Linked DNA regions of Lonchura striata. The protein of the gene in region 1 purifies or fractionates together with the protein of each later gene. This does not show direct contact. Links are inferred from orthologs where the notes say so. Each region holds a gene or a part of one and is shown in the gene's direction. Other genes may lie near its edges.

Region 1 (6,844 bases):
CATTCCTAGGAATGGGGCCATTCCAGGGACCCTCCTGATGCCCTTTCCCCCCATTTTCTCTCTCCCCAGTGGGGGCTCCCCTGGCCCCTCCCCCCCTGGAGATGATGGGGGCCCCCCCAGGACCCCCCAGAGGAGAGGTAAGACTAGGAGGAAGGGACTGGGAAAGCTTGGGGTGGGTTTTGGGGATTTGGGAAGTCTTGGGAGCACTTGTGGGGCTCAGAGGGTGTTAATGGGGTGTTTGGGGAATTTTGGAGGAGCTCAGGGCTTTCCAGGGGGCTCAGGGGGAGGTTGGTATCAGGGGATCTGGGAGGGTTGAGGAGTTTTGTGGGGGAGTTTAAAGGGGTTCAGGGGGTTCCAGGGATGTTGAGGCCTTGCTGGGGGGTTCAGGGGGTTTTGGGGCTGTAACCCCCCGACCCTTTCCCTGCAGAGGAGCTGAAGCCGGAGGGGGGTCGGGAGAGCAGCTCCAAGGGCCGGAGCTGCAGCCGCGGCCCCACGGGAATGGGGGACCCTGAGAGGTGAGACCCTCCCAGAGCCCCCTCCGGAGCCGGGAAACCCCCCCGGGCACCGGGAATTTCCCCGGGCATTGACCTCTGACCTCTGTTCCTCAGGAGGGACCCCCGGAAGGAGCACGAGCCAAAGAAACTGGAGGAGACCCCCCCCTCCGTAAGGATCTGGGGCACCCAGAACAGGGGAGGGACCCCCCTCAAATCCCGGGTTTGGGGGGTTTTGGGGAATTTTCACCATAACTGATGCCCTATGCCTCCAGTTAACAGGGAGGGCTGTAACTCCTGTTCGGGGTGAGTGAACCCCCAGGGGACTTCAACCCCTCAAATCTCATTTTTTGGGGTATTTTGGGAATTTTCTGCTTCACTGCCCCTCTCCCTCTGCCCACCTTCACAGTTCAGCCTTGAACAGTCTGAAACTCCCTGGGGGAGGGCTGTGAACCCCTCTTTTTGGCGTGCATGACCCCCTGGGGGTTTTCATCCCCTTCAAATCTTGTTTTTTTGGGAGCTTTGGGAGTTGTTTTTTTTCAACAGTGACACCCCCCTGGCCCTCCCAGCTCAAACACCCTGGCAATTTTGGGATTTCTCTGACCCTTTCTGAGGGGCTGTGACCCCCTGGTTTTGGGATGTGTGAGCTCCTGAGGATATTTATCCCCCTCAATTCCCATTTTTGGGAATTTTTCCTGGTTTTCCCCGCAGTTCAGCCATGCCAGCAAATACGCCGCGCTCTCTATGGATGGGGAGGATGAAGGTGATGATGAAGAAGGAGCTGAGTAGAAACTTCCTCCCCCTCTTCCTCCTCCTCAGCTGCTGCAGGAACCTCTGGAGATTCCCAAAAATCCCAACCTTGATCCAGGCGAGACAGAAATAAAGCCTAAAACTCATCAATTCCCTCAGCTACAGCTTCTTAAATCCTGAAAACAACCCCACACAGAACGCACGGGAATCACCCCAAAATCAGCACAGGGAGCGGGAGGGGTAATTCCAAGAGTTTTCTTGAAAGAAAAGCAGCTCCTCCCTCCTTGTTTTCCATGGAATAAGGGGTGAGGAAGAGCTGGCCTTCATCCTCACTGGAGCCCCTCCAAAACAGGGATAGGGAGGCAACCAATCCCCCCCAAATCCTCCGGGGTCTGGGATCCCCCTCTGCCCCCCTTTTTCCTCACCTCTGGAATGTTGATTTCCCCCTGGGCACCTTCATCATCCTCCTGCTCACAGGTGCCCCTCCAATTCCCCCACCCAATTTTTGGGATGCAAATCCCACCCTTTACACAGGAAAACCTGAATTTCCACCCCAGAACCTCAAGATACTCCGAGATTTTGGGATTTGGGGTGGGCTGTAAAATTGTGTAAAAAGAACCTTCCCAGAGGTTTTGGGAGGTCCTGGGGGAGTTTTGGGGTCCCCAGGGGGGCGTTTTGGGGTTCTCCCCCAGGTTGGGGGCTGTTTTGTTTTCTCCAATAAAATGAGCTGAAAAAGATCCAGAAAGGCCCCAGATCTTTCTGCCCTTCTCCTCTTCACCTTGAAGGGGAACAGGGCAGTTCCCAAAGCCCTCCAGGGGGAATTTCCTGTCCCGACATTGGCCTTCCTCTCTCTGGGCTTCCTTTTTCTTTCTTGCATCCCTTCTTCATTCCATCTTTTCTCCTTCCTCATCCTTCATTCCTTTCTTACTGCCTTTCCTCCTTCTTCATGTTCCTCCTTCCTTCCATCCTCTTGCTCTTTCTCCTCTTCCTCTTCCACTTCCTCACTTCTTCACTTCCTCCTCCTCTATCATTGCATCTCCTGCTTCCCCTTCTCCTTCCTTTTTCCACCTCATTTTCTTCCTCTCCTTTTTTCTTCTTCTCTGTCCTTCCTCTCATTGTTCCTTCTCCTTCCTCCTTCCATCTTCTTCCTCCTCATCCCTATTTCTTCATCCTCTTCCTCCTCCTTTTTAATTTTTCCTTCACCTTCATTCTGATTCTTCTCTGCATCCTTCCATTCTTACTCTTCCTCCACCCTCCGCTGATTAACGGTAATTAATTTGGGGTAATTAATTGGGGATGCAGGCACATCACCGAGCCCCGGGATCCCACCCCCTACCCCCCGCCCTTCCTCTTTCCCGGCTCTTCCCAACCGCTGGAATGCTGGAACCCGCCTCCCCCACCGCTGGAATGCGGCCCCCCCCGGGGCGGCTCCGGCCCCACAAAGGGGGGTCTGTCCTGGCCAGGGTGAGGGGGGAGGACCCCAAGGGCCGGGAGAAGGGGACCCTGACAACCCCAACCGGGAGGGGACCTATCAGGCCCCTCAATCCCCTCTACACACCTCAAGTCCCTCAAACCCAAATCCTCTCCCTGCACCCCAAAAACCTCTTCCCCAATTCCCCTGCTGAACCCAAATTCTCTCCCTGCACCGCAACCCCCCCTGCACAATAACCCACACCCCAAACCAGCCCTGCACCCCAAAACCCTCCTTGCACCCTGATTCCTCCCCTGCAACCCAAAACTTCAATAACCCCCACCCCAACGCCCCCCAAAACCCCCTCTACCCCAATTCTTCCCCTTGAAACGAGCTTCCCCCCCAGGAGTCTCACAAGGGAGGAGTTTGGGGTCCCTGCACTCCCTGGGGACCCCATCCCGGGATTGTGTGGGGTCCCTCGAGCCCCTCCAAACCAACATCCCCGCCCCGAGTTTGGGGGTACCATGGGCTGAGGATCCCCTTTCCCAATGAATCTGCAGGTCTCGTGGCGGGGGGGTCTCAGCTTCCCCCTTCTCCTTGATTTTGGGGGACCCCATGGGGTGGGTCCAACCCCCCCTTTTTCCCCGAGTTTGGGGGTCCTGGGGGGCCGCGGCGCGGGTTAGCGAGGGGGCGGTGGGAGGAGGAGGATGAAGAGGGGGCGGGGGCAGCTCCAGGAAACCGTCGGGGGACTCGGGAGGAATTTTGGGGGATCCTGGAAATGAGACGGGGAAACTGAGGCATGGTCGGCAGGGGGCGGTGTCATTCCGTGTGTCCCCCGTGTGTCCCTCTCCTTGTCTCCCCTGTGATCCTCCCGGTGTCCCGTGCCGTGTCCCCTCCGTGTCCGCCCCGTGTGTCTTCTCCGTGTCCCCCGTGTCGCCTCCTTGTCTCCCGTATGTCCCTCCTGGTGTCCCCTCCCCGTGGCCAGACGTGTCGCTCCCGTGTCGTCCCGCCCGTGTCCCCCCCGTGTCCGTGTCCCCCCCCGGCACGGGAAGCGGCTCCGGGCTCGCGGAAACGGCCCCTCCCCGCGCGCCTTCGGCCACGGAGCCGCTCGCGGCACCCACGGGCAGCCCCGAGACGCCCCCCGGGAGCGCCTGGGACCCCCCGAGGTCCCCGCGGAGCCCCCCCATGAAGCCCCCCGGGGCCGTGGGAACGCTTCTGCGCGCGCTTGGCCGCCGCGATGGCCCCGACACGGTAGGACCGGGGCAAGGTCCCGGTGAGGGTGGGTGAAACGGAGGTTTTGGGGGAGTCTGTTTATTCCGCGTACCGCTTCATGGGGGTCCCGCGTAGGGTGGGGACCCCCCGTGGGGAAGCGAGGGCTGGGTGCGGGGGCAAAAGCGGGGGAACCCCCCCGTGGCGCCCCCGCGGGGTTCCCCCGCTGTCCGCTCCAGCCGCCCCCTACCCACGCGTGACGCTGGGTGACCGGGGGGGGGAAGTCGAGTCTGACCCTCCTCCCCCCCCTCGCCGCCCCTCCCCATGTTTTCTCATGCTCACCCCTCGCCTCCACTTTCCCCTTTTCCCCCATTTTCCCACTTTTCCCCGTTTTTCCCGCGTCCCCCACCGTGCCCCCTCCCCCCGCACAGACTCCCACGCCCCTCCCCCTCCGTGGGAACGGCGGGGTCGTCCCAGGGGTCGCCACTTCCCGGGCTTGTCCCTGCCCGCTTCCTGCGGGACTCGATGTCCGTGGCCGGAGGCCAGAGGGGCCGGGGGGGACACGGGGGGGACACGCGGGACGACACGAGGTGGGGGACACGGGGAGGCACAAGTGGGAGTGGGGCTGACACGGGAGCGACGAGGAGTTACGGGAGGGACAAGCGGGGAGAGACGAGGGGACACGGGGGACGTGGGGGAGTTACTTGGGGGACACGGGGGTGGCACGGGGAGTGACATGTAGGACACAGCGGTGCCATGGGAGAGCACGGAGGTGACGCAGGGACGACATGGGGGGGACAGGAGTGGGATCCGAGAGGGGATACAGGGGACACAGGGGAGGACGGGGAGGGGGACACAGGGGAATACTGCGGGTGACAAGAGGGGGACATGATAGGGACACATGCGGGGACACGCGTGGCGTCATGGAGGGACACGGGTGACACGGAGGAGACGCGGTCAGTGAGAAGTCATGGAGGGAACATGGAGGGACACAAGGAGGGACACGGGTGACACCGACTGACACCTGAGGACGCATGAGGGGACCAGAGGAGGACTGCTGTATACAGGGGGGTGACATGAGGGGACACGGAGGTGACGCGATGAGAACTGGGTGGGACTGGGGCCGGTACACAGGGGGGTCACTGAGGGGACCCGGGGAGGCCAGGGGGGGGTTCACAAAAGAAACACAGAGGGTGACACGAGGGGACATGGAGGGGAAACGAGAGGTGACATCGGGGAGGACATGGAGGGGACAGGCGGTGACCGCCCCGTGTCTCCCCAGCCGAGGCCGTCCCCAGCCGCCCCCCACGCGTTCCGCGAGCGGAGCCTGCGCCGGGGGGCGCCCTGTGGGGGCTGCGGGACCCCCCTGGGACCCCACGGGCTCGTGTGCAGAGGTGACACCCCCGGGACAGTCCCGGGACATAGGGAGGGGCTGGATGGGGTGGGGAGGGGGTACTGGGGACAGTGGGGTTGGGACTGGGAGGTTACTGGGGCCAGTGGAGGTACTGGGGGCGCTGGGAGGGCACTGGGAAGTCACTGGGAGCATTGGGGGGTTACTTGGGCGGTTACCGGGGTCACTGAATTGGTCACTGGAGGCAGTGAGCGGTTACTGGGAATACTGGGAGGTTGTTGGGGGCAGCGGGAGGGTATGGGGGTGTATTTGGGGCCCTGGGGGGACGCTGGGGAAACCCTGAGGGGACCCTGGGGGTTTCTGATGTCGCCGTTGTCCCTCCCAGTTTGCAAAGTCGCCGCGCACAAGAGATGTGAGAGCAAGGTACGACGTGGGGCGGGGACGTCACCCAAGGGCGGGGGGGGCCCATTTGGGGCTGGGGTCCATTTGGGATGATCCCCGTGTCCTCCTCCAGGTGACGTCACCGTGCCAACCTCTGCCCCCACCGGAGCTGGTGAGTGGGGGGGGGGGCGCGACCTCCCCAGAGCCGCCGGGCAGGACCCGAGACCCCTCAAATCCCCCTCGAGACCCCCAAACCCCTCGGGCATGACCCGAACTCCCGAGGCACCCCCGGGCAGGACCCTCTGAGCTCCCCTCGGGACCCCCAAACTCCCCGGGCAGGATCAGGGACCCCACGGAAGGGCTGAAACCATCCCAAGCCCGCCCCGAGCAGGAGACGGGACCCCCCCCTCGGGACCCCTAAACACCCATGTCAGGATCCGGTACCCCCGATATTCTCCCTGGACCCTGAACCCCGCAAATCCCCCTCGGGACTCCAAACCCCGCCGGGCAGGCCCCATCCCCGGTGGTCGGGCCCCCCCTCAGACCCCGCCGTGTCCTTCCAGAGGCGGAACACGGCTCCGGTGCGGCGCAGCGAGCGCGTGGTGAGACCCCCGAAACCCCCAAAACCCCCTCGACTCACTGACACCCCACCCCTCCCCGTGATCCCTAACCTCCCCCGGGAATCCCCAACCCCCCTCCCAGGACCCCCCTAAACCTCCCCCCCGGGACTCCCAAAACCCCCCTGATCCTCCCCAGGATTTGGAGACCCCCCGATTCCCCCTCCCGACATCCTCATGACTCTGCGGTGTTTTGGGGACCCCTCTGACACCCCCCCTTGCCCCCCCCCACCCGTCCCTGACCCCTTATGAACCCCCCAGACCCCCTCCCGACCCCCCTCATGTTTTGGGCACTTCCCTGCCCCTCCCCTTGACCCCACGCGGGTGTTCCGGGGACCTCCCAACTGCCCCCGCCCCTCCCTTGACTCCCTCGACCTCTCCCAGTTTTGGGGACCCCCCCTGACCCCGCCTGCCTTGGCCCCTTCTCCGCCCCCGTGTTTGGGGACAGCCCTTAGCTCCCCCATGTTTTGGGTGCCCCACGACCCCCTTTTGCCCCCCCTCGTTTTTGGGGCTCCTCCGGGACCCTCCAGGGCTCCTCGCTCGACAGCGCCCCCCAGCGGAGCACCCTGCCCAGGTACGGGAGTTTGGGGGTGCTGAGGGGGGAATTTGGAGGTTTTGGGGTGCTGGGGGAGCC
Region 2 (7,673 bases), on another chromosome or scaffold:
TCAGGTGATGGCTCCTCTCCTGTGCTTGGACTTGCATGCTGTTACTCAAGGCTCAGTGCCTGGGCTTCAGCTGAAATGCACGTTACATCCCAGCATATGAGCACACAAATGTTGAACAGTGCATCTGTCATAGATTCATTAGGATTTGGTTTATAAAGGTACCTGTGAATGGGCAGGAACCTTGCTTTGGAAGATGTGCTCAGCATTTTAAATGACAAGCAAACTGCAGAAGGCTCCTACTTTTCCTGTGGACCTCCTATGAGTCACTCCTATGAGTTGCTGTAAACAGGTGGCCTGGGATGATTTGCAAAAAGCAAGTACTGTTTGGATGTGGCTGGATTTTACAGGTGTGATCATAATGTAAGCAACACTTTCCAAAGATTAATGTCCTCCATAGATTTCCCTAGTATTTACATTCAAAATATTCCCTTTTACAAAAGGAAAAGGGAAACTGTAAGAAGAACATCAAAAAATACCAAAATTATGGTGATTCTTGAAAGGCATTACAATTTATGTACAGTTGCTACTATTATTTCTTTTGCAGGATGAGTCAGTTATTTGTGGCAGCCAAAGACATGCAGTTTTATGAGACCCATGTGTCAAGTGCCTGAAGCGCTGTGTGCTGGAAAGGTTTGTGTTGGAGCTGCCTGTGAGAGCACTGAGAGAATATCTCTCTGTTATCTGTACTGCAGTGCTCCACTAGCCACCACACACGCTGTTCCTCTTCCACAGTAATGAGGGCATCTACTGTATTGATAATGTTCTTTTCAGTAGAAAGCTTTATGCTGACATGAACCTGGCTGTGTGAAACAAGGTTTCAATAGAAATGCTAAAAACTCATTGTTCTCATTTTGAATTTGCTGGTGTTGTGGGTTTCCTGGAAGTAAGGGATAAGCTAATAACTAGTTTCCATCAAAATGCAACAAGCATTTGAATCATTACTTTCTGTTTTAAGTTTCTGTTGCCCCTCCACCATCCTTCTTAGCATCTCCTTTGAAGCTCTTGTTTGCTTGCTGAAACAAGTATTGTGTGGCCTGCTAATTCAAATTGTGCGGCAGGCCAGCTAAAAAAGTTGTCAGGTTGTTGTGGTGAAATAAAACATCCTGAACAAAATTATGGGGTGGTAATCCCAGAGCATGAGAAGCTCTTAACCAGATGCTCATTATAGCAGTATTTTAAAGGGTAGAACTAGCCAGGTAACACAGGAACCTTGAGAAAGGCTGAGCTTCCCCTCTAGGAAAACGCTTGGCTCTCACCTTGGAGAAGGAAGGTGAAGGAGGAGCTCTGTACCTCCTTGTTCTGCTCCCATAAGAAGTCCCTTAGATTTGTTTTTTCCTCTGCCAAGAACCCAAGCCTTTCTCTATAGACTAGTTTGGAAAAGTGGAAGTTCAGAGCAGGGCTACTCAAGGCCTACTTGGAACACAGCTGGAAGGAGACAGGCTGTGAAAAAGAAGCCATTTTCCTCTTCTTAGAGTCAAGGCATTCAAAGCTCTTGGAAGGCTCCCAGAAGGCAAAGAAGAAATGGAAACCAATTTCATTATAGATTGTCTTACATACAGGGGAGTTTTAGAATTAAAGGATGTTGCCCTCTGGTCCCATTGTTGTTTGCCTCTGTGACCTTTAATTTTACTCTGAACCCTGTGCTGACTGTGTATATGCTGGGGCTGTGATAGAAAAGTGAACTTAAGTATTTATGAGCTCACTTTTAAATGAATGAATACAGTTATCTGAGTTTTTTCCCTTTTCCCCCCAACTCTAGGTGGTTTTTTGCTTTTCCATTCCCTGCTCTGTGAACTAAGATATAGTTAAGTCGTGCTTCACAGATAAAGTATGGAATTTAGACCTACTCTTCAACAAGGGCTGAATTGTCATCTGAGTTCCAGTCCTTCTGTAAACTATTACAGCAAGCTTGTCATGTGTTGAGTGTAGCATTGTTCTTTATGCTTTGTAATATATGGGCAAATATAAAAAGACGTGATTTCTAATTATTAGGCTTCTAGTTAGGCTTCCCTCTACTTCTGTCTTCCCACAGTAGTTTCAGCTGGTCTTTTCTATCATACATGATAAGAAGCCTAGGCAACCAGCCAGCTGCTCTGGAACTATAATAGGGCCAGTGGCATGTACAAAATTTGATTACTGCTGTCAACACCAGAGAGAATAGAAGAGAGCACGTACTCCAGTCAGAGAGCTACTAAATAAATGTTGAATTCAGTAGTAGTAGAAATAAGACCATCTTCCTCGTAATGAATGAAGTAGTTTATGGGTAGAGAGTATACTATTGAGCTCTGGAGTTAGGTTAAAATATTTTTTAAAAAGTCTTCCTTTGCAGCCTTCAAAGATTACTTTGACCAGAAATTTCTATTTCCCTTCTGTTTATCTGCTCTTGCAGCTAATGTATGGATTTCACACCCAATACTGCAGATATTCATAGAGACCATGGTTTCACTTTTAAAATTTAGCTTAAAAATATTCCTGCCATCCTAAAGGTAACTTATTTGCACATGGGTTCAGATATGAAACTATTTCATGCTAGTAATTCTATTTCTGTTTAGGCAAGAGATGTTTGTTTTTTTTAATTTAAACATAGTGTAACAACCCCCCACCTCCCCCTCCCCCCACCTTAAGTTAATAAATATTCTCAGTGTATATTCTTGTTGAAATGTTGGATTTTTGAGGTAAAACCTGCTGTTAGATAAAAGTGTTTTCTCTGATGTTCATGGCGCAGCTGCTGGTGGCAGGCAGAGCTTGAGGGCTGAGCTTCTCTGGAAGCTCTGGCGCATGAATGATTTACTCAGCTTTGCTAATACCTTCACATTGAATGCAGTTCAAGGGGTCGGTGGAATCAGAGTGGTGTTTCTCTAACTGCTCTCACTGACTGCAATCACTTCCTCCTTTGAGAATTGGTAAACCCAGAAATGTTGTCACAGACTAGCTGACTCGTGAAACTTGTGCTTATTCTTCAGTCTTGCCAAGTGTGGGTGGGCCTTGGAGCAGCAGGGACTAAGGTGAGGTAAGGTATTGGATATACAGGCGAGCATTCTTAGGGGATTCAGACCACTCTCATCTCAAAACTTGAAAAAAGGAGCATGTGGTGCTGTTGGTAAGACTTCTGGCATATGTGCAGGTCTGTGTGCTAATTCTCATCGTTTCCTTGGTGGAGATGGTCGCATCTTTGTTTTATGCTTGGGAAGTGCTTGGTGCACAGTAAGGTTTGTATTTGTATTTACAAAATACATACTTGTTTGTTTCTAAAATAGAAATTCTAACTTTAAAACTTTTATTGCCTTTCCACTTTGGTCTTGTTAGCATGGTTCACAGAAATGTTTGGCTACAAATGTCTGATTTAGCCCCCTGAATGTATGGTTGTCTTTATTCATGGAAACAAAACTCCTTTTGTGTGAGGCCTTTCAGCCTTCAACTTTGAGGAATTCTTGAATTCGGGGAAAAAACATCCAACCCACAAATTTAAGTAAGACCAACTTCTGGCCCACAAAAATTTAAAGAAAGATCTAATCTTGATTTCTTCCTCCTTCCCTTCTCTGAATAGTGTCTGGGGTGTAATACTGTCCTGACTGGATATCAATGAAGAGAGGAGAGCTGTATCAAGAACATTTGTCTTATAGCATGATACAATGAGACAGGCAGACAAATCAAACAGCCTCTATCTTTCTGGTTTTGAAACCAATTCTATGGTTTAGAACTCTTTTCTCTGGTTATAGTGCCTGTACTTGCGTGTTCTAGCTAATCTCTTCTTGCATTACTTTGTTGTGACTTTTGGAATTCTGTACAGTTCAGAATCCAAAAGTGTGGGATATGGAGTGTCTTGCATAACTACAGCATTTGGATTCTTCTTAATTTGGTTATAGAGATGGCAACAGGCTTTGGAAGACAGAGGGATTCAATTTGCTTTTTGTACTGGTGGTAAGCAAAATTTAAAGACCCACTTGAAAATAACTCAGATCTTATCATAGCCCTGCATTACCAACTTTTTGCTTTACTGTTCCTTGCTCTGTCTTGTTTGGAATTACTGCACAGTGGAGAGGGCATGCCTAATCAGAGTTTGTAATTTTCTACTTGTACAACTTCCTTTATGTGCTATAATCTTATGTTTAAATTTTCTTGTGCTTTTTTGAAAGGCCATTTAAAGATGTGGATGCTTACTTTGAAGAGTTGTTCTGGTTTTATGTTCTGTTGAATGTGTGAAAAAAGTGTTATAATGATACTGCAAACTTTTTACAGAATGAATGCTAAAAGTATTTAGGATATTTAAAATGAGTATGGTGCTTGACCAGAGTTTGATTTGAACAGAAAAGGAAAGTTACCATCAGCTTTCCTATTTTCAGTTTGTAGAATTTAACTTGCCTGTTCTCTGAAAGCTGGTGTCATCCTATTTTCATAAGGAGTAGCAAAGCAGCATATTTATCTGATTTTAAAGAGAAAAGAAATCTCAAGTAGCTGGACGCCTGTGACTTGCTAACGTGCAGCCTTTTTAAAGGTTTATTTCCTGACTGGTTTTGTCAGTCACTGTGTGGCTGAATGTGTCAAACCCTCAGAGGAAAACCAGTGCTTCCCTCCCCCTAGAATCCCAGCATGCAGTTCTTGCGTGGGTACTAGCGTGTACTTCCTCTGCATCTTCACTTTCCTGTTATTCAAAAACTGAGCTTGATCATGAGCGTTCAAACAGCCAAAAAAGTTGTATGGAAAAAGTACAAGGTTGCTGCACCTCGGCATACTGACCAGCAGACCTGTTATGCTCCGCTGGGTGAGTGCTTCCCTGTGTTCTGAAGGCTGTGGTAGATGAAAAGATCCAGGCATGTGGGTCTGCTTTTATCATCTACATTTGATGAGAGCTGCTTTTTTTAAATTTGCAAAAGTTTATTTACTCTAACAGAGCAGGTCGTGGAGGGCATGGCAGGAAACAGAGTGGGGAAAGGCTGTTTTCTGTGGTGCTGCTCCATTGAAAGCGTTGTGTGAGCTCTGGCTGCGTCACACCTACAGACACAAGATCCTCTTGGTAATTAATGCTTGTGTTGTGGGCTTCCCTTTCACCTACAACAGTGACTTGTTCATGGCAGAAATTTTAGCATCATTCTGTCTGCTTGAAAGTCTTAATGTCCCTAATTTTCTTAAACTATGCATTAAATTCTGGTGACTTCAGCATTTACTTGTTTTGAGTCTTTAAAGTTCTGCCTAGTGTGCCTTCTGGTACTTCTGAATGTAAACTTAGAGCAGGTCCTTGGCACCTCACAAGTTTTTCTTCTCATTTTAGTAGTATCTCAAAAGAGCCATATTTCCTGTAATTTGGAAAGAATGTTTTGTGGAGGGATGCTTTGAAAAAGAATAAACTTGGGATATTACTCTTTTGTCCTCGTTTTGGCATCTTTCATACCTATTCTGATTGAAATTTCATGGGTTGTCTCATCTGTTTTTTGACTGGGCCAAATAACACAGATTGGCAAGGAAATGACAATTTGATTATTCGTAGTACCTGTGAATATGCTATGTAGGTACAGTAATTGACAGATGAGAACTGTTAATTTTGTGAATTGGTGTCAGAACTTTGAGAAAGCAGAACCTGTTGATCAATAAAGAATTTGGTCCACTTGACTTTTAATGTGGGTTTTTTTACAAAGCTGGAATCTGAAGATAGGTTTTTAGAAAGAGAAACTACAATCCTCTGAAGTTGTATCAATGTAATGACTAAATTTAGAATAAAATGATGGGCTGGGACTCTGATTTCACATATGTTTGCTTCTAGAACAATGAGGTAGATTTGGATATATGCCAGTTTAGCTGAGAGCAGAAAGTTTTCCTTTGTAGCTCAGTCCAAACTTCCTTAAGAAACTGACAAAAATGTTAAGAAAACTCAGTAATGTGAGTGGAGTTTCTTTTGACTGACTCTGGAGAGCTGAGTAAATTATAGGTTAGAGAGATGTAGTGTTCTTCAAAATCTGCACGTATTCAGCCCTCAAATGTGAGACATCTGCAGTTGATCACTCTTGGAAGGTTAGCAGTAGGAGAAAATCAATCTGCTTCGTTTTTAACCTCAGCTGCTGTTCATGGAAGTTGTTTGTTCTGGCTTTGCGTGTACTGGTGTAGGTTTTTTTGGACTATTTCTTGGGGTTTTTTTCTTTCTTCTTTTTTTGTTGTATTTTTAGAAGAGCGTAAACTTGGACAGGAGTTATAACCAGCCATATAGTTAACTGATGAGCACTGCAGTTGTGAAACCTCTGAAATGTTCATCTGTGGGATAATAGGAAGGTCAATCTCTCTGCGGTTTTATATCTCAATCCTTCACATCTTTCTAACATGTAAGTGCACACACTTAATATTTGGTAATGTCTGTGTGTCTATGGATGATTTCTCTGGCACTTGCTCCAGGTGGCTAGGCTAAGGTGTGAACCTCCCAGGTGATAGCAGCTACATGCTTGCTCAGGTGCTTTATATGATTGAGCACAATGTTTACTGATTGTTTCTTAAAGCCTGTTTAAATCTGAGCTAAGCTCTCACTTCTTTTAAAATAACATAGATCATGGCCGGTAAATTGCAGTTATAGTTTTTCTTAATCAAGCAGCAAGATTTTTTTCAGGAAATTTATTCAATTATAATCTTTGTAACTGTTCATAAAGTGTAGCACTGTAGATTTGCTTTCCAAGAGAGTCATAGTCCCACATTTATTGTCATCTCACTTTTTTAAAAACTCTATATTTGGAGTCTGTGAGAGGTGTGGCTTTGGACACTTCTTAGTGTGTTGGAAATGCACACAGGAGGGAAAAACTCTGAAAAAAGCTAGAAGGTAAGAGGTGTGGAAAGGAAAATGAGGAAAAAACCTGAAGGTAAAATAAGTCGTGGGGGTGTGTGTGTGCACTATGATGGAGAGGCCATTTCTGAGAGGACAGGATTTTTAATGATGCAGTACTGGAAATACTCAGGGAAAAAAGGGGTGGAGAAGTTGGAAGGGGTGTGTATGTAATTGTTTCTTCATGTCCTTTGCTTTTCACAGAAATCTAGAATACAAAAAAAAGGGACACTTTTCAGTCAGCAGAGGTGTGGCTTTGGCTTTTTTGGTTGTGTGCTTGCTGTGGGAATTGGCAGGGACTGGAGGAAAGGAGGTTGAAGCTCATACCTGATAAAGTATCTGATAGTAAATGAATTAGTTTGGGTGAAACCAAAGTGGATAAGACTAACTTCTGTTCTCTGAAGCCTGGAGAGCACACTAAGTTTTGTCAAAGATTGATTTATGGCCTAAAACATACTAAATAACTTAGCTCATCTGGTGCCCATCTTTATAACAGTCTATTCTCTCTTAATAACCTCTTAAACTCTCTAGCTTGTGACAGGCACTGGGAGTGTGGTAGCATTGGTAGGCTACTGGAACCAAAGCTTACTCTTTATATAAGAGGAGAAAAAAGAAGGGATCTTGTACTTTCTTTTGTCTGTTCAAACAAAAAGGCTTTCTTCATTGCTGTTCTATACTAAGGGAGATAATGTGTGTTCTTCTAGTAAAATTTCTGAAACTATTGCAGGAAAATGATTGGGCTATTTTGTGTTGACATATACACACTTTACTGTTGTGGCACTATTTGATGTGATTATTTAATAAAATGGGGCTTTTTTTTTTGCCTCAATTGCCTAATTACCCAGATGGAAATCACACTGTCATTGCAGGGAAG
Region 3 (6,956 bases), on another chromosome or scaffold:
TGCAACTTTTAACTTTATTTAGGTCAAAGGTTGGACTCAGTGGTCTTGGGTGAACGAGAGCCTCAGTGATTCTGTGATTTAAGAGGTGGGGGGCAAAGGGGTGTCCTGGCATAAAGCAAGCAGGGAGGGAGCTGATGCCCTAACTTAAATTTTTATTTATTTATTAAAACAGAAAGCGACAAAACTAAGGGATAAAGCCCCTTAGTTTTACAGAAGGCAATGGCAAATGTCATCAGCTGGACTTTTACTTCAGGCTTATGTTCTTGTGGAAGGAAGCCCCTTTGTGAGCACAGCTGGAGCAGTTTGGGTGCAGCCAGGCTCTTGAAGCAGGTGTTGTGTGTCTGGCAGCTCAGACAAAGTTAAAGTTATCAGCCCTGTGTAGGTGTTCAGTTCCCATTGCCTGGGGCAGTGGCAGAGAGACTTTTAAATGCAGATTAATGGTTCTGTACTCCTGTACCCTTTCGGTAATATCTAACACTTCACAAACCTAGAATTATTTTAGTTCAGACCTGTGAAGGTGGTGAGGAAGATTTCACACCCTAAGTTAATGTAGGAGGTGAAATTAATGAATTAAAACTGAGCAAGCTGTTTTATCCTGAAGTCAGTTGTGCTGGGGGAAAGCAGTTGCTGTTTCCAGGTGTTCCTCACTGGAATTTCCCTCCTCCCCAGGTGTGCCAGGGAGCTCTGGGAGAGCCCTGAGCTGCCAGCTGTGTGGGACCTGCTCCTGCTGCATCTCCAGTCTGGGGTGATGGGAAAAGGGCAGGAATGCAGCTCAGAGCCCTTCCCAGCAATGCAGACTGCATTCAGAGGCAGCTGCAGAGTTCTCTCCTGTGCTCTGCAAGCAGTGCTGGGGCCTGTGGGCTGGGATGGAGAGGGGAGGCTTCGCCAGCTTCTCTTAGAAGCACGGAGTGCTCAGAAATCCCCTCCACAAAAAGTCTTCCCTTCCTGAGAGGGAGGGGTAAGCTCTTAATTAGTCTGTGTCCAACTTCTTACTGCTCAAAAATCCTCCTGCAGTATTTCCTTTCTCTTACCCGACAGGAGCACTGCTGTATTTCAAGGAAACAATTTCAGCTGCAGGATTTGCTCTTGTTTGCTCCTGGTAAATCCCATAGCAGACATTAATTTCAACAGGCAGGTTGTAAAAAGCCGTTTCTACTCCTGAGGCTGTGGGACAGTGAAGGAAGATGAGGGTTTGGTTCTGGTTTGGGTGTTGTGGCACTGAGTGTGCTGCCAGCTCTGCGCCCTGGCTGTGTGAGCTGGAGAACAGAGCTGCCTGTGCCAAATCTGTGCTGAGACACTCCGTGCTGGCCTGCAGGGCTCCTGGGGCCAGGCTGAGTGCTTCCCTGGGGAGTGAAAATGGATCCAGAGGGCAGTGAGCTTCAAACAGCACCTTGGCAGCGGGGCTGGCACCTCAGTGCCACTGCCACCTCCCCGTTCTTAGCCTGACCTGCAAGTTCCTCAGGGATCCTCTCTCTGCTCTGGGCGCTCAGCTGACACTGGAACTCAGTGCTGGAGCACTTACTGACACTCAGCTGGGACTTTGGGAGTTCCAAACCACCTGAGTTTCTGTGACTTGATGTGAAGTCACAGAAACTCGGGTGCTTTGGAACTCTCCTGGATTTGAGTTTGTTCTGTTTTGTCTGGAGGGAACCTGTGTTAAAAGTTTTGGAAGGCTTTCAAAGAAACCTCTGATTAAATATTGTGACTTATGCCATCTTTGTTGAACTTGAATCCAGTACAACCTTTATCAGTTTCTGACCAGGTGAGGTTGTTGGGCTTGCCCTGGGGCTTAGAGCAGGGGATTTTTTCTGGAATCACAGAATGATTTCAGTTGTGAGTCCAGCCTGTGAGTGATCCCCACCTTGTCCCCAGCCCTGAGCTCTGAGTGCCACATCCAGGAATTCCCTGGATACCTCCAGGGATGAGACTTCACCACCTCCCTGGGCAGTGCCAAGGCCTGAGCTCCCTTTCCAGGCAGAAATTCCTGCTGCTGCCCACCCTGAGCCTGCCCTGGCCCAGCCTGAGCCCATTTCCCCTTGTCCTGTCCCTGTTCCCTGGGAACAGATCCCAAATCCCCCCCTGGCTGTCCCCTCCTGGCAGGAGCTGTGAGAGCCACAAGGTCCCCCTGAGCCTCCTTTGCTCCAGGCTGAGCCCCTTCCCAGCTCCCTCAGGAACTCTCCAGCCCCTTCCCAGCTCCTCAGGAACTCTCCATTCCCTTCCCAGCTCCCTCAGGAACTCTCCAGCCCCTTCCCAGCTCCTCAGGAACTCTCCATTCCCTTCCCAGCTCCCTCAGGAACTCTCCAGCCCCTTCCCAGCTCCCCCAGGAACTCTCCATTCCCTTCCCAGCTCCCTCAGGAACTCTCCAGCCCCTTCCCAGCTCCTCAGGAACTCTCCAGCCCCTTCCCAGCTCCTCAGGAACTCTCCAGCCCCTTCCCAGCTCCTCAGGAACTCTCCAGCCCCTTCCCAGCTCCTCAGGAACTCTCCATTCCCTTCCCAGCTCCTCAGGAACTCTCCATTCCCTTCCCAGCTCCTCAGGAACTCTCCATTCCCTTCCCAGCTCCCTCAGGAACTCTCCAGCCCATTCCCAGCTCCTCAGGAACTCTCCATTCCCTTCCCAGCTCCCTCAGGAACTCTCCAGCCCCTTCCCAGCTCCCTCAGGAATTCTGCAGCCCCTTCCCAGCTCCCTCAGGAATTCTGCAGCCCCTTCCCAGCTCCCCAGCCCCTCCTGGGGCTCCGTTCCCTTCCCATCCTGGGGTGTTCCATGGGCTTGCTGTGACCCCAGTGCAGGACCCAGCTCTTGGCCTGGCTGTCCCTCAGCCTGGCACCCAGCCCATGGCTCCAGGCTGTCCTGGTCCCTCTGCAGAGCTCCCTGCCCCCAGCCCATCCACATCCCACCCCCCTGGGGCTGTCCCTGGGCTGAGCCAGGCTGGTGCCCTCCGTTCCCGTGCCCAGGATGTGCCTCCATGCCCAGGTTTTTCCAGCCAGGATGTCCCTGTCCATCAGTGATTTTCCACCCCAGTAACTGGAGGCACTGAGGGCTCAGTGGGTTGTGCTGCCACCAGCTTTGTCCTGCCTGAACAAACCCGATGGCTTCTTGTGCCTTGGAAAAACCTCTCAGTCCCAGCAGGAATGGCAAGGCACGCAGGAGGGCAGGCTTTAGGATTCAGCACTGTCTTTTTTCCTGAGCTACTGAGTTGCCTGTTCATTTTTAATGAAGCTTCCTGCATTTTTTTGGGCAGGTTTTTGCAGAATCTTCCAGAGCAGCTTTGGATCCACTGGATTTATGGATAAAAAAAGGAGCCATTGACTTGTTTAGAATTTCACTGCAGAGCTGTAATCACTGGGAAGTTACAGTCCCTTTCCTGGCTCCTGGCCATGTGGGTTTTTCCTTACACCCTCTGAGGCCGGAGTCAGTTTGGGTTTGCAGAGATCTTGCACAATCATCTGAGTCCAGCACATGTGAAAACATCAGTGAGAAATCCAAACTTTTGGCTTTTGGGGCAGCTGCTGCTGGAAGGTGCACGGTGGCTCCCAGAGATGCTCCTGTACTTGCTGGAGATGCAGAAATAACATTTTAGGGTACTTTTCATACTTTTGTGCACAGCTGCTTTTGCTTCAGTTACTTATGCTACAATTGGTGTCTAAAATGTTAAAGGTAAATGAGAAGAACTGTCAGAAGTGGTTAAAATGTGCTTTAAAAGATGTTGTAGTCTACTTGAATGGAAGGTTTGTCTTTTCCAGGGGTCAGATGTGGTCCCCTGAAATCACTTTGAGGTCACTCCTCTTCCTGGGAAAAGGCACAGGGGAACAAACAAAGAGTATTTCAGATTTATTATGTTTGACTGCTGAGGAAAGGGATTGGGAATATGAACCAGGAGAACAAAGAAATGAGTAAGAGCATCAGATATTTTGCATAGACAGAGGGAGAGGAGGGGATTAAATCAGTAATTGTGGGGTCCTTTTTTAAATTAGGAAAGAAAAGGAAAAATACTTCATGTTTTTATTGAAATCTGAGATGAACAAATATAAGCACCTTTATATCATAAGTAAATTTAATTTTATACTTTAACAAAACATTTATGACAGTTCAGAAATTATTTTAGATGGGTTCAATGAAATGTCAGACGAGCTCAGAAGCCCAAAGCAAGGAAGTGCCAAAGCAGATGGACACCAGTAACTTTTTCTGCCAGCACAGGTGTGCCCTCCCTTTTTATTCAATATCTTCATCCCAGCTGTGTTATTTATTAAAGTTACATTTTTAAGAGTGAATGCACTGGCAAGGGAGGAAAGCTTTTCCTTGAAACAGCAGGAATAGTTGTTCCTTCTGATCAGGAAAACAGCAGAAAGTCACTGAACCTCCTTCCCTGTGTCAAGCTCAGATCAGCCCATGCCCCAGACTGGCTTTTGGATTTATTTTAATTACAACTTATTTCTGACCATAAATAGCTATGGGCACAATTTTATCTTCATGCAGCAACTGCAATTTAATCAGTGACATCAAATATTATTTCTGCTAATGACATGCAACGCCAAGAATGTGAACCAAGTCAGATTTAATAATTGGTAAATGAACTTTTCTTTCTGTGTTCCTGCTTTGGCCAATGAGGCTGTGGCTCAGCACGAAGCAATGTTTGGAAGTGGTTCTCAAACCCTAAAGGTCAGAATCTCCTTTGGAGTGTTCCTTAAAGGTGGAAGTACAGAATGAAACAAAATGAACTTGGAACAAAACAACTGCAAAGCCAAACTACAGCTCCTGAAAGTGGCTGTGCTCAGCTGGGGTTGGGCTCCTTCTCCAGGAACTGACAGAGCCAGAGGTCACAGCCTCAAGCTGTGGAATTCCAAGGGGAATTCAGGCTGGATATTAGGGAAAAGTTCTTCCCAGGAAGGTGATAAAGTTCTGGGATGGCAGCCCGGGGAGGTGGGGGAGTCCCCGTCCCTGGGTGTGTTTAACAAAGCCTGGATGTGGCACTGGGTGCCAGGGATGGGTTGAGGTGCTGGGGCCGGGTTGGACTCGATGGTCTTGGAGGTCTCTTTTAACTTGGTAATTCTGTGAATTCTGGGAATTTTGGGAATTCCCAGGGACTGGGGAGGTGGTGGAGTCCCCATCCCTGGGTGTGTTTAACAAAGCCTGGATGTGGCACTGTGTGCCAGGGTTCAGTTGAGGTGTTGGGGCTGGGTTGGACTCGATGGTCGTGGAGGTCTCTTCCAGCCTGGTGACTGTGTGTGTGATTGTGTGTGACTGTGTGTGGGACTGTGACTGTGTGTGACTCTGTGATTTTGTGTGATTCAATGGTTTTGATTGTATGATTTTGAGTGACTCTGGTTCTGTGATTGGTGTCACTGTGCGTGATCCTGATTGTGTGGTTGTGTGTGATTCAGTGATCCTGATTGTGTGTGACTGTGAGTCTGATTGTGTGTGACAGATTCTGATTGTGTGATTGTTTGTATTTCTGTGATTGTGATTCTGACGGTGTGACTCTGATTCTGACGGTGTGACTCCGATCCTGTGTGTGATCCAGTGATTCTGTGTGATTGTGATCCTGTGTGTGACTCAGTGATTCTGTGATTGTGATCCTGTGTGTGACTCAGTGATTCTGACTGTGACAGTGATTCTGTGTGATTGTGATCCTGTGTGTGACTCAGTGATTCTGACTGTGACAGTGATTCTGTGTGATTGTGATCCTATGTGTGACTGTGATTCTGATGGTGTGACTGTGTGTGATACAGTGATCCCGCGCATGACTGTGTGATCCCGTGTGTGACTGAGTGATCCTCTGTGTGTGACAGTGATCCTCTGTGTGTGACTGTAATCCTGTGTGACTGAGTGATCCTCTGTGTGTGACTCTGTGATCCCGTGTGATTGGGATCCCGTGTGTGACTGATCCTGTGTGACTCTGTGATCCTGTGTGACTCTGTGATCCTGTGTGACTCTGTGATCCCGTGTGTGACTGTGTGATCCTGTGTGTGACTGTGTGATCCCGTGTATGATTCTGATCCCGTGTGATTGGGATCCTGTGTGTGACTGATCCTGTGTGACTGTGTGATCCCGTGTGTGACTGTGTGATCCTGTGTGACTGAGTCATCCCGTGTGTGACTCTGTGATCCCTTGTGTGACTGATCCTGTGTGACTCTGTGATCCTGTGTGACTCTGTGATCCCGTGTGTGACTGTGTGATCCCGTGTGTGACTCTGGGATCCCGTGTGTGACTGATCCTGTGTGACTCTGTGATCCTGTGTGACTGTGTGATCCCGTGTGTGACTGTGTGATCCCGTGTGTGACTGTGTGATCCCGTGTGTGACTCTGGGATCCCGTGTGTGACTCTGGGATCCCATGTCTGATTCTGATCCCGTGTGATTGGGATCCCGTGTGTGACTGATCCTGTGTGACTGTGCTCCCCGGTGTGAGAACAAGCCCGTCCGCAGCTCGGGGGTGATTGCCTGAGCACAGGGCTGTCCTTGGGCTGTCCTTGGGCTGTCCTTGGAGCTGTCCTTGGAGCTGTCCTTGGGCTGTACCTACAGCTGATGAGCTCCAAGAAGAGCGGAACCTGCTAAGCAAGGTCCTGTAGTATTGGCCTGAACCCGGGAGCGCCTGCAGGGAGCCAGGGGGCACAGCCGGGGTACAGCCAGGGTACAGCCAGGGTACAGCCGGGGCACAGCCAGGGCACAGCCGGGGTACAGCCAGGGTACAGCCGGGGCACAGCCAGGGCACAGCCGGGGTACAGCCAGGGTACAGCCAGGGCACAGCCGGGGTACAGCCAGGGTACAGCCAGGGTACAGCCAGGGTACAGCCAGGGTACAGCCGGGGCACAGCCAGGGTACAGCCGGGGCACAGCCAGGGTACAGCTGGGGCACAGCCAGGACACAGCCAGGGCACTGCCGGGACACAGCCGCGGCACAACCAGGGTACAGCTGGGGCACAGCCGGGGCACAGCCGGGACACAGCCGGGGCACAGCCGA
Region 4 (7,752 bases), on another chromosome or scaffold:
TAGATCTGGGTGGTTTGGTTTTGTTTTTAATTAATTTTGGCATTTTTTTTAAAATTGCTGGTACATCTGTTATATGTCATTTTGTACATGGACTACAACTGTAGAAAGAATGAACAAATTAAGGTGCTTAAGTCAGTAATTATTTCAAGCTCAGTACTGCTGAACTATGCATTTTTTCTGGAGAAGTCAAGGTATGAATGGCAGGAGGTTAAAGCTGGGTAGCTCACATCAGTCTGATTTAAGATGAGCTGTAAGAGAACAAAGTACATGTTTATGTAATTAGCATGAACTTCATGTCACTGCTCAGTTTTGTGCTAACAGAACATACAAGTCTTCCTTAAAGTGGAAGATTAGCAGCACTTGATGAAGAGTTCAAAGTCACTAATTCTCTGAGTGTTAAATAGGGAAACTGTATGTTTCTGCTTCCTGATGTGTGCTAAATATTTGGAGAATGAGTTAACCAGATTTATTCTTTCTTGCTAGAACCTACTGTTTTAAATTCAGTGTCACTGAAATACATATGCTATGTGAGAACCAAATGTAGACTGTATGTTGGCTTATCTGTAGACGTAAGCAGAGGTTGACATTAAAAATCCTCCGTAGTTACTGCATGTGAGAGATTATATTATCCACATTTGAAGCAGTGTTCAGATGACTATATCACACAGCAATATTCAGAATTAATGTAGAGTATCCACTTTTGAGTATGCCGTGCTCTGCATCTCAGAAAACTGTTTCTGTAGCATTTTTTGTGAATAACTTTTTAATGTCCTGTAGTATGAAATCCTGTTCTTGCTGAAGAAATCACTGCTTATTATTGCTGTAAGTACATCTGTAATAAAATTTTGAAAAAAAAATTTACAATAAACATGGTCAATCTTATTTCAAAAGGTTGGTCATGAATCCTCCTAACACATTTTGAGATCAGTGTGCTTTGAGCTTTCATCTTATGACAAATGCCTGAACATAGCTGAATTTCATATACCTAAGATTCAGTTCAAAAAACAAAGGTGAATTCTGCACAAAAATAACTGGATAAACTATGGTGCAGGGGAGCAAAAATTTTTAAATCCCTGAAAGTTTCAGCTCCTGGGATGTCTGTCAGGTTCCTAGCTGGATGACTTGGGACATACACATATCAAACTTCTCTTTGGCCAACACCATGGTCCTGTTTGGATGATGAGGCCTCTGAACCTTTCCATTGGAAAGGGCTTGTAAACATCCATGTGGAGAGGATGATGGCACTGGCCTTTTGGTTTATAGAGACATGACTTTTATGCATTTTTAATTTTCAGTTTTTCATACACTTGTCTGTAGTAATTTTTTTTTTAAATCTTGAGCAGTCAAAGCCACATTTGCTGAAATTGTCCGAACTTATCCTCTCCAAATGATTGAAATACTGCCATAAAAATGAAAGTACTGATTTGTCTAACTATATTGGAAAGTGACTGTTTATGCACAGATTACTCTTGTACATCAGAAATCCTATAATTGAAAAGTAGCTAATATAGAATGATTAACAGTAAGAAATAATAATTCCTGTCTGTGTTATCCAAACAAACTTCCCAGTGCTTTTATTTGAGGCGTTTATTAATCTAAACATGCACAGTATATCATTAACGTATTTTCTTGCATGATTGATCGATTGAATTAGTTGTTCACTGGGAGAGGCATGAAGTATCTAAGTAAAATGGGAGGCAGGGAAAAAGGGAAGAGAAAGTGACTTTCTTCAGGAGATATATTAGCAAAACAAATGAACAATATTTGCTAAGCAAGATCAGCATTCATTTCTGCATACTGGAGAGAGTTCATTATGTAGAGCGTCATGTAGAGCTGAAGGTCAAGGCCAATGTGCTTGCTTCCTGTTTTTCAGTGATCCATTATTTGCTCTTGCTTGGTCAGAGTCACTGGTGCTTCCAAAGAGGAAAAACAAAAACAAACAAACAAAAAAATGGCTTCAAGAAGAGGCTCTACAGATACCTGAGTTGTCACTGTCATATGCACACACCACCACAATAGAAATCAAGCACCCTGAATGCACCAATCAGTCCCTCTAGTAGCAGTGAAACAATTAAAACAAATAGATATGTCATTGCCATAAGCTGTAGATGGATAGGAAGAGACTTGTCACCCAAATAGGCTGGAGTTTCTTTGCCTACTGAGTTTTCAGTACCGTAGAAAGCAAAATGCCACTTGATGAGTGTTTTTCCACTTGTCATTTATTTCTGCTTATTCCAAATGGTTCTGTATAAGACAAAAAATTATGTATTTGTATTATTGTAGATTCTGGGAGTGCAACCCATGGAGCTTTCTCTCTAAAGCAATTCATTCCATATGGGTGGGTTGCTATAATTATATCTATGCAGATGCTGAATCCACTTACAATATGCAGAAACCACGGCTGTTGTTTTTGCAGAAAAATGCAGAAAAAGCTAGAGAAAAAAGCCAGCTATTAATCTGGCCTGTTAGTATGTGGACAGAATGACTGATACTGGTTTCCCCTCCCAGATTCTCCATTTATCTCTGGGCTGTTTTTCTATACAGTTAGTGTGCACAAAAGATACAAACATTGGTGTATTTCAGTTTCCTTCTCCTCCAAAAGAGATAATTAATAATATTTGTTGGTTTTTTTTTTCCCCAGAACAAAAATAGTTACTCCCCATAGACCTGATGTGTCTGGGAACGTCTGTGTGGCTGAACTGTATCCCATCCACTGTATGTGTGCTGTGTTGCAGGGCACTAATACTGAATGGTGAACCACAGTGGGTCCTCCCCATAATGCCATGCTTATTTGTCTGGAAATGCTCTTCATCAGTCCTTTATTTCCCCCTCTTCCTTTTTGTAATTCAAAGATATCTGCGTGGGATAGGAGTCTGGTAAAATATATTTTGCCACACCAGATGCTCCCATTAAATTTTCATTACTATATGTCTTACTAACATATTAAATGTTTTTCTTGATATTTTAATCTATAATCTTGCACATCTCAAAATCTATTGAATTAGAAATTTAGCCTATGTTGAGTTTTTGGGTACTTTAGATATTCTCTGCAAATACAAGCTATATGATATATGTGCTCAAACTCATCTGTTGTGAAATACCATATAAATTCCTTCTTTCTGTGTCTATGATTTAGAAATCGTAATGCAGCTAGAAGTGTGAAATATTAAGCATATCCTTTTATCTACTTGGAATTGATGGTGACTTCAAAGTTAGTCCTCATTCATTGCCCGGTTTGTTTCACTTCAGCAATGGCTTGAACTGTGAACAAAAGGAGCTGACAGTATTTTCAGATGGGCGCTTTATAGTTGTGCACTTTGCAACTATATGGTAGGACTATCTCTGTTGCCTTGAATGCAAAATTAGCTTGTTGATACGTGCTGCTACAGACAGAGGAACAGATGTAGTAATTCTACTTTATTTACATGAAATCTCTAAAAAGGCATTTTCTGGCAGCATGCTAGGAATAAATACAGCATCACATATAGAAACGGCGCCATGCTATGTTAGCTCCTTCAGGTGTCAGCTGTGCCATTTGGATGTGGGCGAGAGCAGGGAGTCAGATCCCTCCCAGAAGGGCTGGGAGATTTTTCACATTCTGCAACCCAGCAGCAACCTGCCCCTCAGCCCAGGGTCTCTGCTGAGTGCTGTGCCAGGGGTACCCGCTGGTAACAGCCCTGTGGGAGTCCTAGAGGAGGATATCAGATGTTCTGAATTTTTATTTCTATTTGTTTTTCAAAATAGGAAACCCTCTTACCTTGTTTCCTGGATTGTTTTTGGGATTTAGGTTATTTAGTTTGGATTTTGTTTGTTTCTTTTGTTGTTTTTGTTTGTTTGTTTGTTTATTTGGAGGGTTTTTTTTGCTTTGGTTGGTTTTTATTTTGTTTCTCCAGCCGCCTGCCCCCCCCTCACCATTTACTGTCTATGACTTGGATCTCCCCTGAGCTCATGCTTTCAGGCTCATTTTTCACAGCCAAGACCTTGTGGAACTTAACTGAGATTCGAAACTTGTGGGGGAGGAAGGGGCTCATAGGGTGGGGAGGGATTGCAAACCACAGAAAAGTTCAACATATATAATCTGAGTAAAGAAATGAGGCTTAAGTCTATGAGTCTTTTGAGCCAGGACTACAAGAACTGGTGAGTGATGCTGAGCTGGCAGCTGCCACAAGGGAAAGCTTTCCTGGGGGACTCTGCCTTTTCTCCCCTTCCTCTCTCCTCATTTGCCATTGTGCAAAGGCTGAGGAAGGATGTAGGTATTACTCCAGTGGCAGTCCTTGCTCTCCCCTCACTACTTCAGTCAACTATCAGGTTTAAGCCAGGCTGTTGCCTCTATTGAATTGTCCCTTCTTTCACTCACAAACTTTCCACTGTGGGGTTGGGGTTGTTTATTCAGCTTATGAGCAACCAGACACATTAAAGATGAAATGCCTTGCCTCTGAACTGCAGGCAGAAGTGGTGGGAGGAGACACAGCTAATTTGACTTGGAGGATGATTGATGTGTAGATGTCAATTTCTATTAATATTCTTTTGAAATCACTGACGCAAGCGTGTTTTTCCCCCACTCAACAGAAAATATAAATAGAAAGACAACAAAACAACCCTGTCCCTTTAATTCCTGATACTCAGAAACAGTTAAGCAAACTCTGTCATTTGAAAGTGTCCTCCACAGGCTGGCAAAAAGCAGCTTATTGTGGTGTTCTTACCACTTTAAGAATATCAAGATGCTGTAACAGAGCTATCTACTTACTGTTAAAATGTATAAAGAACAAAAAGCAAGTGTCACTACAGATAGGCTTAGATAAATTGCTTAAATATGTACAGCTCCCTCATTAGACAGCCATTCATTGCATGAAAAGAACTAAATGCATTTGTTGAGGTGTAGCTATAAAAGCCATGTTCAAAATGAACAGAGTTGAGAGCCTGAACGCACAGCACTGTTATTCAGAAGTAGCTTTCGAGCAGAGAGTTTCAACGGGAAGGTGCTGTTTGGTTGGACACAAATCAGCAAACGTTTAGCTGAAGCTGAATAATTTGAGCGTGCATGAAGAGCTTCCTGAAGAGAGAAAAAAACGCAAGAATAAAAAAAAAAAGGAAAACCTTCAAACATTTGCATCAGCCTTAGAGGACAATACAAGCAGCAGGATTTGAAACAGATTTACAGATGCACTCTCTTTAGGCAGGGAGAATGCTCATTAAATGCAAGATGCTTCTGTGGCTCGTGGGCTTGCACGGAGGTAGAGGTTTGCAAGACTGACGTATCAGATAAAGTCAGAGTGGTTACCACACCGACGGTGTAGCAGCTGCATAATAAATGATGGAGAGAATCATGTTAGGCATGCCCACCTAACCTAACTTGAATCATGCGAAAGGGGAGCTGCTGGAATTCAAATAGACTTTCTGGTTCCCAGCAGTCGGCAGTAATAGAATGCTTTCAGGAAGATGACAGATGCAGGGGAAAGATGCTGTTTTGCACTATCTTGATTTGTTACGGCAGCCAACTTATTGGCATGATGGAGTGACAAGAAAAGCAGCTGGCATGGAAGGTAGGATTATCAAAGCTATTGCATCATTATGAATGTAATTAGAAACTGACCATGACAAAGCATATGCTAGAATGAGCTGTCACTGATGACAGAGGATTTGTTGCTGAGGTCTTGAAACTCTGAAAACAAAATTCCTCGTGCAAAATGGATTTTGCAGTTTCATTTATGCTCGTGTTACTCTTTCTTTCCTGCTTGCCTGCAAGCTCGGGGAATTGCTTGCTTGAAAGAGAGTGTTCTGTTAGGATGAGACTGAAGAATAAAGTATTTTCTAAGTCTCTGAAGCCTCAGGTAGATAGAAACAAACAAATGTGAAACAAGACTGGGAAAAGCTCCCTCCGATTCACTAGCAAGCTCTGATTGATATATTGGTATATTGAGGAATTCCAAGGAAATGAAGATGCATGTACTAAATGCTCTGGTATAACAAAAGGATATTATTGCATGTCTCTGCTTTACAGTTAGTTTTTATGACAGGTTTTATTCCCCATCAGTTTTTAGCTCTTGACATTTATCCGGTTGTTCAGAATTATATAAAGAAAATACATCAATATCTCCTGCAGGGTTTCTCAACAACTCCAGCATCTGTTTCAGCTATTGAACTGTACTCACGTTTTGCCAACTTGATGCCTACCCAGCTGGTCTGTCATTTCTCGCTTGATTACTGTTCCTAATTTCTCTGTATCAACTTGTTTCAGATAGGGTTCTGAAAACTGTTAATGAGAAATGACAGTAACTGCTTAACTGTTGAGATCTTGAGTATTCTCTTATTTTTAAAACATTAGAGAGCATTTCTGTGTGCATTTTATTAAATTCATGTTCTGTGTTGCACTGTGAGGTTTTCATATAATTACTGAATTTAACTGTGAATACTTTAGGTGGGTCACAACCATAACTTTTAACTGAATATTTTGAGAGAGTTTGAGAAAATTTACAGGTGTTTTCTTTGGTGTAGGTATTGTATTATTACATGATCCTTCCTCTTGTCCACCTCACAACATATATATTCTCCCTGTCTGTCACGGTGAACAGTCATTAAGTGCATATTGTACATATTGAAATATATTTTATCACCACTAGGGTGAACCGGCTGAGCAGCTCTGAACAGGTGATAGGAACAGGTTTAAAACAGACATCAGCTCTACAAGAGTGGATCGCCCTCGATTAGAGAGGTGAAAGTAGTGCTTTGTAAATGTAAGGTATTCTCTTTCTTCCTATTCAAAGGTTCAACAACCACTCAAACACTGCTTGATAGCTCACAGGTTATGATTATGTTAAATTACTTGGATTACTTTACAAAATGCTTTCTTCTATGTAAACTCCATTCTTCATTAGAATTTTCTTCATTAGAAATTTTTTTTCACAGGTGATAATCAAAAGATTTCTTGTCAAACTGGATATTCACTTTTCTGACTTTATCTTAAATTACTTTATTGGCTGTACTCTGTGTTGTCTTGTCAACAGGGATCAGGCTATTAAAGACTAAATGTTGCTGAGTAAAACTGTAACAGTTTTAGAAAGATAGATGTTTCTAGATACATAGCAGTGAACCAGCCTTTGGAAAGTTTGAATGTAAGGATCAGTAAAACTAATAGCTGGTTGGTGTTATTTAGCTTCTTGTGCATTTCCCTGTTTTGATCATTTACAAGAGACATTTTAAATTATTTTGTAACTGCTGGGAGGGGAGATGTACTCATTAACAGAGAGGATCACTGTAGGGTATGAATAACCAGAAATAGTTCTGTAGTTTTGCTGATAATAAAATAAAATAAAATTTTATTCTGTTTCATCGAAGTTCAATTAAATTTAACAATACTTTCTCATTGTTGATCACAGTGAAACCATAGAGAGAGAAACCTCTATAAACAGCTTAAGTCTCATTCTCCTTTTCAGGGTAGCAGTAAAACTGTTTTATATTGCATATATTATATCTTTATACTCCTGAATCTGCTTAGTCTCTTCACGTCTCCAGAATGCTGGCTGGCAATCATCATGCAGTAGTTACTTAAAATATTCTTTTCCCTGTGATGCCAGTAATTGTAACTTCATGCTGTCTGTGGCCATCACCCAGCTGACAAGAGATTTTTTTAGTTTGTTTCTGTTTTCTCTCTAGTATTTGGTTTTAGCTTTCTCTTTCACTGATGAATTAATAGGACACTAGGTGGAGCCAGCTGTTGATTATAAATAGATCTACAGTAATACAGGCCTGTCT

What was found.
Region 2: the proteins of TNS2 (region 1) and UTRN purify together in Homo sapiens (affinity purification with mass spectrometry; 4 studies listed by BioGRID and IntAct, with this or other methods). This does not show direct contact. The link is inferred for Lonchura striata from reciprocal best matches to the Homo sapiens genes TNS2 and UTRN.
Region 3: the proteins of TNS2 (region 1) and DTNB purify together in Homo sapiens (affinity purification with mass spectrometry; 3 studies listed by BioGRID and IntAct, with this or other methods). This does not show direct contact. The link is inferred for Lonchura striata from reciprocal best matches to the Homo sapiens genes TNS2 and DTNB.
Region 4: the proteins of TNS2 (region 1) and DMD purify together in Homo sapiens (affinity purification with mass spectrometry; 3 studies listed by BioGRID and IntAct, with this or other methods). This does not show direct contact. The link is inferred for Lonchura striata from reciprocal best matches to the Homo sapiens genes TNS2 and DMD.

The regions. Positions count from the first base shown.
Region 1 is NC_134629.1:4,650,033-4,656,876, reverse strand, and holds the start of TNS2 (tensin-2), read left to right. Parts: upstream 1-3,837; coding exon 3,838-3,903; intron 3,904-5,143; coding exon 5,144-5,255; intron 5,256-5,597; coding exon 5,598-5,635; intron 5,636-5,726; coding exon 5,727-5,765; intron 5,766-6,156; coding exon 6,157-6,252; intron 6,253-6,740; coding exon 6,741-6,784; intron 6,785-6,844. Other genes in the region: EIF4B (eukaryotic translation initiation factor 4B), read left to right, coding at 70-137, 428-515, 609-663, 1,203-1,280. UniProt on the Homo sapiens protein: Tyrosine-protein phosphatase which regulates cell motility, proliferation and muscle-response to insulin. Phosphatase activity is mediated by binding to phosphatidylinositol-3,4,5-triphosphate (PtdIns(3,4,5)P3) via the SH2 domain.
Region 2 is NC_134605.1:49,976,116-49,983,788, reverse strand, and holds the start of UTRN (utrophin), read left to right. Parts: upstream 1-4,667; 5' UTR 4,668-4,668; coding exon 4,669-4,762; intron 4,763-7,673.
Region 3 is NC_134605.1:113,406,410-113,413,365, forward strand, and holds the start of DTNB (dystrobrevin beta), read left to right. Parts: upstream 1-3,955; 5' UTR 3,956-4,103; coding exon 4,104-4,195; intron 4,196-6,956.
Region 4 is NC_134604.1:107,466,163-107,473,914, reverse strand, and holds the start of DMD (dystrophin), read left to right. Parts: upstream 1-4,725; 5' UTR 4,726-5,446; coding exon 5,447-5,543; intron 5,544-7,752. UniProt on the Homo sapiens protein: Anchors the extracellular matrix to the cytoskeleton via F-actin. Ligand for dystroglycan.